3 linked regions of the Macaca fascicularis genome follow. The protein of the gene in region 3 purifies or fractionates together with the protein of the main gene of each other region. This does not show direct contact. Links are inferred from orthologs where the notes say so. Each region holds a gene or a part of one and is shown on either strand. Other genes may lie near its edges. The genes, in order: FUS, DDX5 and HNRNPR.

Region 1 (3,654 bases), on a different chromosome or scaffold from region 3:
GCCTGGTGTGTGCTAACCTGGAGCAGGCAGGGGTAAGATTCAGTAGTCGTCTTTTACCAAATGGGTTTGCCCCAGGTTAATAAGAGGGGTTTAGTAGGCCTTGGACAGGGCTGTTGCCACACCTGGCACTTAGTGACCATCATCATGAGAAACTGGAGAGTGCGTGCTGGAACACGTGGTGCCATCTTGACTTTAGGATCCTTTTGATCATTGTGTCCAAGGCTTGTGTGTGTGTGAGAGTGGGAGACAACCTCCAAATGTTTTAATTCTGGAAGAGGGATGTAACATTGCCCTAAGAATGGTGAAGTTGGTATACCTTTATAAAGTACGGAATGGTGTCAATGAATGCAATTCTATGTATATGGACTTAACTCAGATGGGCAAATAGAAACTAGCTCTGGGAAGGAACATGTGCACTACTTCAAGAAAGATTGGAAGCATGTGTGGCTCATGGGAAATAACCAGGTCTTAAACAGCACAAACTGAATTCATGGACCAGGAAGGTCTTAAACAGCACAAACTGAATTCATGGAAAAATGACAAATTTGAGAAGTCTCCCAGTAAGCTGGAACTTTTCTGGTTTGGTTAACTAACAAAAGGTTTCTTGATTTGTCTCAACATTTAAAGCCAAAGGCTTGGGTTCATAACTTAGGTGTCATTGCGTGTGGGTACAATATTTATATATGGCGAATTCAGATAAACATTGGTCAAAGATGGTCTCTGGAAAAACAAAATAGAGGCTGCATTACGAAAGTAAGATTTCTGGTCTGTTCCCTGGGACATGCTTAAAAAATACAATAGCTATTATGTATGGTTTTTATTTTCATGTGGTTTTGGGGAAACATAACACGGTTTTAAGGATGGTTTCTAAAGATGAAATTAAAAATTGTTCCACAAGGGATAAGTGTCTTTGGTAAAGTTGGGAGAAACTGGATGGATGCACATCTCATGGCTGGTGGCGAGCCCATCTCTCTTCTCTCGGGTGAGAGAACTGGGCCAAGCTGAGTTGGTTTGTTCACTTTAATGGGTCTCCCTTTCCCCTGCCATCTGTGCTGAGGACATTTCCCAGCTTGAGCTGGGGGAGGCAGCATTTTCTGAAGTGTGGAGTTGTCTCTGTGGAGACTCAAGTTACAGATCTTAAGGGGCCTGCCTAGAATTTTCTCCGGGCAGGCGACCCAGGAAAGGGTTTGGAGTGAGGCTGTGAGCACTTACATGATACTTTACAAGTTTGGATTTGGTGTTGATTTTTTTCCTTGTCCATTTTTTCCTGTTGACTAACAGCTCCTCTTCCTTGTTTTTGTTTTTTTTTTTGTTCTTTTTTTCCATGTCACTTAAGGCCCTCGGGACCAAGGATCACGTCATGACTCCGGTGAGTTCACAGGTGGTGGCATGAAGAGTGGCTAAAGTGGTATCAAGACTTTGCCTGGATATTCTTTGAAACTATTATAAAAAGGAAACTGAAAAAAAGGGGATAGAGAAGGAAGGGAGTTAGGTGTATCCTTAGCTAGCAGTGAGAAGTATTCATTATTAAGTATTTCTCAGAAATACCTGGCTTGCGGGTTCCACCCCCAGCGATTTAGAAGGTCTGAGATGACCCTGAAAACCTACCTTTCTAAGAAGTCCCTAGTGATGTCGATGTGTCTGCACCACACTCAGATGGTTTTTACAGCAGTGGTTTTTTAAAAATGTGGATCATGTCCAAGCTGGTAAATAAAAACTAGTGAATGAAAGACCAGACCACATGAAGTAAAGCATTGAATTCTTGTTTAGATTGTATTGATGTTTGTGTACTAGATTTGAATGTAAAATGGGTCTCTTAATTCGGGACCTTCAACTGGAAGTTGATAAATACTGATGGGCTTTTTTGTGTGGTCTTGGGCATTTCACTCCTGAGCCCGTGTTTCCATACTGTATACTGTGTGTTAACATGTTTCAAAGGATAATTTTCAAACTAAATTTGAAATTTATCAGCGTGGGTGGCATATAGGGACTCAAAAGGGATGTGGATTTTTCAGTTGTCTTCATAAACCAAATAATACGAGTTGCTTGATGGATACTAGGTGCTTTAGGTTTTTTCCTATGTCATTTATTTTACCTTTTCACATTCGCATTTTCTTCTCTGTTCAACAAGCAGAACAGGATAATTCAGACAACAACACCATCTTTGTGCAAGGCCTGGGTGAGAATGTTACAATTGAGTCTGTGGCTGATTACTTCAAGCAGATTGGTATTATTAAGGTACTTGTGGAGCGGAGTGGGTGCCTTCTGTCAGTGTTGCAGGCTTTTGGATTTCACACATTAGTAAAAGCAAGTCTTTAATGGTTGCCAGCAGTAAAAACAAATCTTAATGGTTGTTGCCAGCTTAATTTGTTGAGGAAAGAGCCTTAGTTACTGTTTTCTAAAAGAAGTTCTATCTTAACACGAAAAGTATAACTGATAAGAATGCCCTGAACTCTGAAATTTGTACTTTATAGTAACTTTTAGTTTTATCCTTCAATATTGGAGGGAAAGACAGTTTTCCTCAATGGAGGTTTACATGTGAGGTAGGACGAAGTAACTAGGAAGAGGGGAGCTGAAGTTTGGGAATGATAAACCTCATGTTCTAGAGGAAGAATATGGAAAGGGAGTACTGTAGCCTTTAAAATTGATGTTACCGGCCGGGCGCGGTGGCTCAAGCCTGTAATCCCAGCACTTTGGGAGGCCGAGACGGGCGGATCAAGAGGTCAGGAGATCGAGACCATCCTGGCTGACACAGTGAAACCCCGTCTCTACTAAAAAATACAAAAAAACTAGCCGGGCGAGGTGGCGGGCGCCTGTAGTCCCAGCTACTCGGGAGGCTGAGGCAGGAGAATGGCGTGAACCTGGGAGGCGGAGCTTGCAGTGAGCCAAGATCACGCCACTGCACTCCAGCCTGGGCGGCAGAGCGAGACTCTGTCTCAAAAAAAAAAAAAAGAAAAAAAAAAAAGAAAATAAAATTGATGTTACCTCATTTTGCTTTCTTCAGACAAACAAGAAAACGGGACAGCCCATGATTAATTTGTACACAGACAGGGAGACTGGCAAGCTGAAGGGAGAGGCAACGGTCTCTTTTGATGACCCACCTTCCGCTAAAGCAGCTATTGACTGGTTTGATGGTATGTATGAGAAGGCTGGCAGAGGTGGGGCTGAGGATATAGGGCAGCAAGTCATAGGAAGCAAGTCATAGTTTGAGGGTTCATTTGAGTCTTCCGGCACTTTAGCTGCGGTTTCAAATAGTCTCATTTTTGCTTATGAGTCAGTAGATTATAAACCATTTGAGAAAGGCACGCTTATCTTGTATTTTTGGATTAATGTATCTTGCATTTAAAGTCTCTTGATACTTTTTTATTTCTCTAGGTAAAGAATTCTCCGGAAATCCTATCAAGGTCTCATTTGCTACTCGCCGGGCAGACTTTAATCGGGGTGGTGGCAATGGTCGTGGAGGCCGAGGGCGAGGAGGTGAGGCGCTACCTGCTGTTGGTGCAAAGGGGGGTGATGAGAGTAGAGAAGATGGTAAAGGCTTGCATGGAATGGGTTAGGTTTACCAAACTTGGAGGGGGAGCAGACCCATACTTGTTTTATCTGCATTAGGACCCATGGGCCGTGGAGGCTATGGAGGTGGTGGCAGTGGTGGTG
Region 2 (2,523 bases), on a different chromosome or scaffold from region 3:
GAAGACTAGAATCTACAAGTAACCTGCACTGAGAACGTTGTGCAAACTCAATCAGTTAAGGAGACTCAAGTTTAGCTCCTGGCCATCTTAAAGAGCGAATGTATGTCTTTCACAGGTTTGTTCAACATTTCAGTAATTCACAGTATAGCCAAGAGCATGAGAATAAATCTCTTGAAAAAAAACCAGTTATTTGGAGCTTTTTAAATTATAAATTTTGCCAAAGTCATCCACATTCTCACATTACATAGATGACTTTGTATCTATTTCACTATTCTCTCATTTAACCATACTAGCAAATAAGGAAAAGGCTATATTAAATGACTCCCCTGATGTTGGGAGCTGACAAAGCTTTTATGCAATGTAGCCTATAACTAAAAATTCACCTAAATCAGTTCATTGACTCCTGCAATATAGTTCATTGTAAAGGGCCTTCTGATTCCCCCTGCCTCCCAAATTAAATAAAAAGGAGCAGTCATTTGTTTTCATGATTAAAAACAAAACAAAACAAAAAAAACCAGACCATCTAAGCAAAGTTTTACATAACATTATATATATAAAATAAAGTACAATTTCCACTTAATTCAGTCTTCAAATATTTTTTATTGGAAGGCCATGCATTGCCTTCATTTATTGTATTTCAAATCACTGTACATTTACTTTTGTGAAAACACTGCCTGCATTTTCTAGTACAAAAAAAACCTAAAAATTGTTTCAGGAATGTAGAGAAATATCCAACTTAAATAGCGAAAAAGTGCACCATAATTACTGCTGCACTGCAGTCATTTCTGCAATTCCCATGTTTCTTAAATAACTATCTTGTCAGATAACACACAATATAAAGAGCAATTATGAAAAACAGACATTTACATATACTTCTAAAGTCTTATTGAGAATATCCTGTTGGCATTGGATAACCAATCATAGGTGCGGCTGCAGTAGCAGGATATGCATATGCCTGTTGGTTCATACCATTGTGCATATTTGGAACATTACTTCCGTATTGCTGAGTGCTATCATAACCATTCTGGTAAGTCCCTGTTGGATTACCAGTCCTAAAACTGGTCTGTATACCAGCAGACACAAAATTACTTCCAAAGCTCCCATTAGTGTAATTTGCAGCACTGTAAACACCATTCTGAGTTTTTGCCCCAAAATCTCTCTTTAGCAGGCTAGAGTAACCTCTGTCATAATTTTCCCTGTCTCTAAAGGTATTAAATCCACCCCTTTTGCCCGCAGAGTATCTGTCCCGACGGTCATCCTTCATGCCTCCTCTACCCCTGGAACGACCTGTCAAAAAAAAAAAAAAAATTGCAAATTGATCAATTATGTCTATGACACAAATCATTGTGGACAGAAAGAATTAGATCTATTCATTGCAGGCGTGAAATGGTTTTACAGTTTTTCAACATAAGTTTTCCGTTCAAGGTTTTACTCACCCTCCAATACCATTTAAATGGATTTGTAGACAACGATGTGACTCACAACTACCAACATTTCCTATCAGTCATCCTTACCTGAACCTCTGTCTTCGACCAACTGAAGCAACTTGGGATTAATTGCTTGATTAGCTTCACGAAGCACAGAGATAAGGTCGCTCACTTGCTTTATGTTATTAGGTGTAAAGAAAGTGTATGCTGTGCCTGTTTTGGTACTGCGAGCAGTTCTTCCAATTCGATGAATATAATCCTCTGAGGAGTTAGGGTAGTCATAATTGATGACAAATTTCACATCTTCCACATCTGTAAGGTGTTGCAGTGTGGCAAAATAGCAATGTACGGAGTTTTGCACACCACAACAGCCAGACCAAAAATAAAAAGTTAGACAATTGTATTCCCAAGAAGGTACGGGCTGCAAAAAATACAGTTAAAATGGTTATCCATTCCCTGTAGGAATACCATTGAGGTTGAAAAAAGAAAAAAAAGCACATGTCATCTGTATAAGTTATCACCCACCCAGTGACAGACCCTGTCAAAAGGAATGTGTATTCCCTAGCACATTCCCAAATCAGCAAGTTCCCTTACAGATCATCAAGTGACATCTGAATGCTTCTGCGCAGTAGGGCCACTTAAAGTTTCACAGCAACCTCTTCATGTGCTCATTTTGAGGACCTTGAAACAAAAAAATGTACAAGGTCCTTTGCATTACACATTCATCAGAAGTTCAAACTTCTGGCCACACTGCTTGTCTTGCCAAGACCTTACAACCGCAGCTGCAAGAAAACATACCTGTCCCCCAAAAGTTGTTTTTATGCACTGTGTCTCGTCTAGGCAAGCGCTTCCAAGAAGCCAGGATTCACTTGAGAATGTGTCTCTCTCTGGCAGGTCTCGACATGACGACTACTGTGTAGGTGAGGGAGGAACTTTCAAAGCACTTTCTTTTCCCACTGACTATGTGTGAGAAGTTGCTCCTGCTCTAGATCTCATGTGCCAGTACTCACCAATTTGTAAAAGGCTTAGTACCTTTTAAAGCTGCTCTCTCCATTTCAAACTTGAACAAAAATTTCATTGAACATTGAAGTTTGGA
Region 3 (3,710 bases):
ATCAGTAGAAATAGCAGGTTCTCGAGAAATAGGTTTAGGACTAGCAAGAATTAGTGTCCTTTGGGAATTACCCCTTTCCCCTGCATGGCTCTTTTGGCTTCAGAGATGGATGTATCTGCTTTATTTTATGAATATCAAGTAGCTCCAAATCTGTGGGGAAAAGGTTCCTGCTCTATTACTTGTGTTATACATTGCTCTTGAGTCATTTTAACGATTTCCCTCACAGTCTGCCACCAACGATGTGTGGACGGCAGCCAGGGAGGGAAAGAGGCATTTCTCCGATCGTTCCAAGGAAAGATTACCTAGACAAAATCCTCAGCAAAATGACGAGCCAAATCATCCTTAAATTGTGTGCTCACTAGAGGCGAAAAGATGACCGAAAGAGGCCCGAACGCGTGGCTATGGGCGTGTCTGGGGCGAACGCCGGCAGCAGGGGTGCGAGGGAGGACTCGCGGGCTAAGCGCGGCCGGTGGCGGGACGCGAGCGCCATGGCGGAGCGGGGCCAGCGCTGACTGTAGGGGGCGGGGCTCTGGATGCGGCCACGCGGCGCAAGGCCTAGATTTTGAGCCTCGCATCGGCGGCAGACGAAGAAGGAGGAGCCTCGTCCACCCAGGACCCGGTGCCCCCAAGCCTCGCCACCACCAAGGGCTTCCACCACAGACCCCTTTGTGTGCCTGCCCCCGCCTCGGAGGCGCCCCAGCCAGCGGCGCTGAGCACCCTCATTGGTTCAACCGACAGCTTCATCGATTGGCTCTCGAGTCGTCCGGCGTGGTCCGTTTTGCCTCGATACTATTGGTCACCTGAGCTGCCTGTCAAGCCGCCTCGCCAAGCGATTGCCCCGCAGCTCGGAGTCCCTGGAAGCAGTTCCGGGAAACCCCGCGTGCTGCCGGGATCGCGTCTCTGTCCATGAGGGGGGGGAGGGGGTGGCGCGCGCGCCATTTCTAGTCGTTTTCAAAGCGCCTCGCGCTGATTCTCACGGGCCCGGCCGCCGGCCCCCGCTCTGCCCTGGTGAGTCTCGCGCCGGCCCGTGGGGGGAGGGGCCGGGAGCCCCGATCCAACCCAACTCAGCCCGGGCTCCGCGCCTGGTCCCGTTTCGTTTGCGCTCCGAAGCCCCCGGGTGGGGGTGGGGACGGGCTGGGGGCGGCTTTGGTCTAGTCCGGCCGCGCGGCTGTGGGCCTAGCCCGGCCGAGACGCCTCTCGCCCTTGCTCTTCCTCCCCCCGCCCCTCCAGCCAGCGGTCCGGCCCGCCGGGCGCTCTCCGCGCGGCCTGCCGGGGCCGGCCGTGCTTTTCCCGCCTCCGCCCGCTGCTCCATGCGGCCGGATCCCGCGAAGGGCCTGAGGCGCCCGCGGCCCTGCCGCTTCTCCCCGCCGGAGCCGCTTCGCTCCCGCCGCGGCCGGCCTAGCCCGAGTGGGATGTGCTGATGATCCGGACCGGCCTGAGGGGGTGGGGGTGGGGGCGGAAGGCGGGGTGCAAATCCCAGGGTTATCTGAGCCAGGAGAAAAGTTTTGTGTGAGCAGAAACCAAAAGGCCGATTTGTGTGGGAAGCCTCCCTCCCCTCCCACATTCTGCATGCCGCGGGCTGAGATTTGAAGGAAAAAATGACTACTAGAGGCCGTGGAACTTAGGCTCCAAGCGGCGCCTGAAATGGGTAATTCTGAGACCGTCAGAGGCGCACCAAATTGGAAAGGCGATCCTTTTTCTTACACGGTAGTAACCGTGTTGCCAAAATTTTTTAAAAGCCCAGGGCTTCTTGGAAGGTTCAGTCCTTTCACACTACCTGTTTGAGATTTTTGCAGTCCTCAAGTGGCTGAATTGATGTCTCATGAGTCAGTCGTAGGATGAGAGCTCGACACTGCTAAGCCATGAGATAACCGTTAGTCTCATTTCGTTGGTTCTTTTAAAGCCCGTCTCTTAATATGAAGAATTTGCACAGGGAGGTTCAGAAAAAGTCAGGGAGGCGTTAGTGCTGACATCCCGAATTTCCCAGCAGCCCTTTTAAATCTTTAAAAATGTCTCCTTTTTTTGCAAAAATGTTTAGATCAAATGACTCCCGTCACGTTAGTATATTTGCTGCATCCAGAAATATGGTTTGGCTGTGTGGCATTGTGTTGAATTGACATGAGTTTCAAATGGTCTCATATGACATAAAAAGTCTTTTTAAAATGAGCACTTTGTATTTGGCTTGAAGAGAGAGGGCTTTTCTTGATCCGAAAGTTTTATTTTCTGGAATCTAATTATTTTACCTTTTTTTTGTTAAAATTTACAAACTTTTTTGGAAAAATTTAACCAATTTCAATATCAACTTGTAGAGCCTTTGCAATGATATGGTAGGCATAAATATTTCTGTCTTGTGCTTAATACACAACTTGTCTTTTTGCTTTACACATACTTAAAAACACCACCTTAACAGATGTTCATTGAACTTTTCTGTTAAAAATTTGCCTCTTTTCTGTGACTAATAGTATTCCTAGGTGCAATGCTGTAAGGGTCTTGTGATACTGAGAACTTTTGAGTTCTGATGATCTTAAGGTAGTATGTGGGGATGGGGGAGCATGGGAAAACAGAACTATATGTTCGCAAGGAGATTTTGGGTTTAGGATGCATCTTTATAGAAATAGGTTGTGTTAATCAGTAAACGTATTCATCTCACACAATACAGTTTCTTGATCAAAAGTGTGACAGTTTCGAATGTTTCCGTTTTTGCTAGTTCATCAGAATTTGAAGCTTGCCTTGAGAAACATCCACCCAGAATTTAACCACAGTCTGCGTCTATTAAGGGCTATCGAGTCTTAATAGTGTTTTGTAATTGTGAGGAGTCATGTTATCTCATTTCCAGAGTAACCCTTTGCATTTTCCTTTCTTCTTCCTACTCTGTACTATTACCTCCTTCCCCTCTTGGTCTTCCTCCCTCTTTCATCAACTTCGACTAAGTATCAGTGGACTTTGAAATGAAAAGAAGTTGTTTTAGGCCAGAAGAGTGCACCTGGTGCATTTGCACAATGTTCGATAAGCTGTCTGGAAGTGTGGTTATCTTATGTGTCTTAGTACTTTGTAGGAGACTTGTATTTTCTTTATAGATGACTAGGTATCTTGAGTTTCATCAAGAAAAGTAGGCTTTTTCTTGAGATCTACCTTTATGTCTTTTATTTAGTATGTGTTGCAATGTCTTGTTCTGCTGCCTATTATCTTCATCACATTATAATTTCACCACAGACAAATGCACTTTAATTCCCTGTCTTTTGAGGCAGTATACAGACTGGCCTTGTATGGTTTATTATTTACTCTCTCTCTTCAGGGAATCAGTCCATTTCAGCATTACCTACTGAATGTACAAAATTATTTTTGGTAGGTTAATCTGAGAAATCTGGCTGAAGTTTAGCCTAATTAGGTAACGTTTTTTGAAATATTTGGAAGAAGTTGTCTATTCTTCAGTATGTTTTTACATCTTTATTTTAGTGATAGGAAAATTTCAACATGTACTTTTTTTTTTTTTTTAAAGCAACCTGAACTATAGCTCACTTAGTGTTTTATGTGGACTTAAAACAATTGTTTCGCTTTTAAACTTGGTCATTTTTTCTTTTAAATCTGTGAATGGGAATAGCGAATTAATCTTAGAACAAAAATTAATGTCAAGTTGGTTTTTTTTTTTTTTGTTTTCATTTTGTGTTAAGTTAGGTGGAGAAAACCCAAACCACCACCATGTTGAACTA

What was found.
Region 1: the proteins of HNRNPR (region 3) and FUS purify together in Homo sapiens (affinity purification with mass spectrometry; 4 studies listed by BioGRID and IntAct, with this or other methods). This does not show direct contact. The link is inferred for Macaca fascicularis from reciprocal best matches to the Homo sapiens genes HNRNPR and FUS.
Region 2: the proteins of HNRNPR (region 3) and DDX5 fractionate together in Homo sapiens (co-fractionation; 3 studies listed by BioGRID and IntAct, with this or other methods). This does not show direct contact. The link is inferred for Macaca fascicularis from reciprocal best matches to the Homo sapiens genes HNRNPR and DDX5.

The regions. Positions count from the first base shown.
Region 1 is NC_088394.1:29,374,972-29,378,625, forward strand, and holds part of FUS (RNA-binding protein FUS), read left to right. Parts: intron 1-1,336; coding exon 1,337-1,369; intron 1,370-2,134; coding exon 2,135-2,238; intron 2,239-3,004; coding exon 3,005-3,134; intron 3,135-3,375; coding exon 3,376-3,477; intron 3,478-3,609; coding exon 3,610-3,654. UniProt on the Homo sapiens protein: DNA/RNA-binding protein that plays a role in various cellular processes such as transcription regulation, RNA splicing, RNA transport, DNA repair and damage response. Binds to ssRNA containing the consensus sequence 5'-AGGUAA-3'.
Region 2 is NC_088390.1:71,091,242-71,093,764, forward strand, and holds the end of DDX5 (probable ATP-dependent RNA helicase DDX5), read right to left. Parts: intron 1,740-2,523; coding exon 1,515-1,739; intron 1,288-1,514; coding exon 884-1,287; 3' UTR 581-883; downstream 1-580. UniProt on the Homo sapiens protein: Involved in the alternative regulation of pre-mRNA splicing; its RNA helicase activity is necessary for increasing tau exon 10 inclusion and occurs in a RBM4-dependent manner. Binds to the tau pre-mRNA in the stem-loop region downstream of exon 10.
Region 3 is NC_088375.1:211,778,958-211,782,667, forward strand, and holds the start of HNRNPR (heterogeneous nuclear ribonucleoprotein R), read left to right. Parts: upstream 1-896; 5' UTR 897-1,008; intron 1,009-1,119; exon of another isoform or gene 1,120-1,648; intron 1,649-3,710. UniProt on the Homo sapiens protein: Component of ribonucleosomes, which are complexes of at least 20 other different heterogeneous nuclear ribonucleoproteins (hnRNP). hnRNP play an important role in processing of precursor mRNA in the nucleus.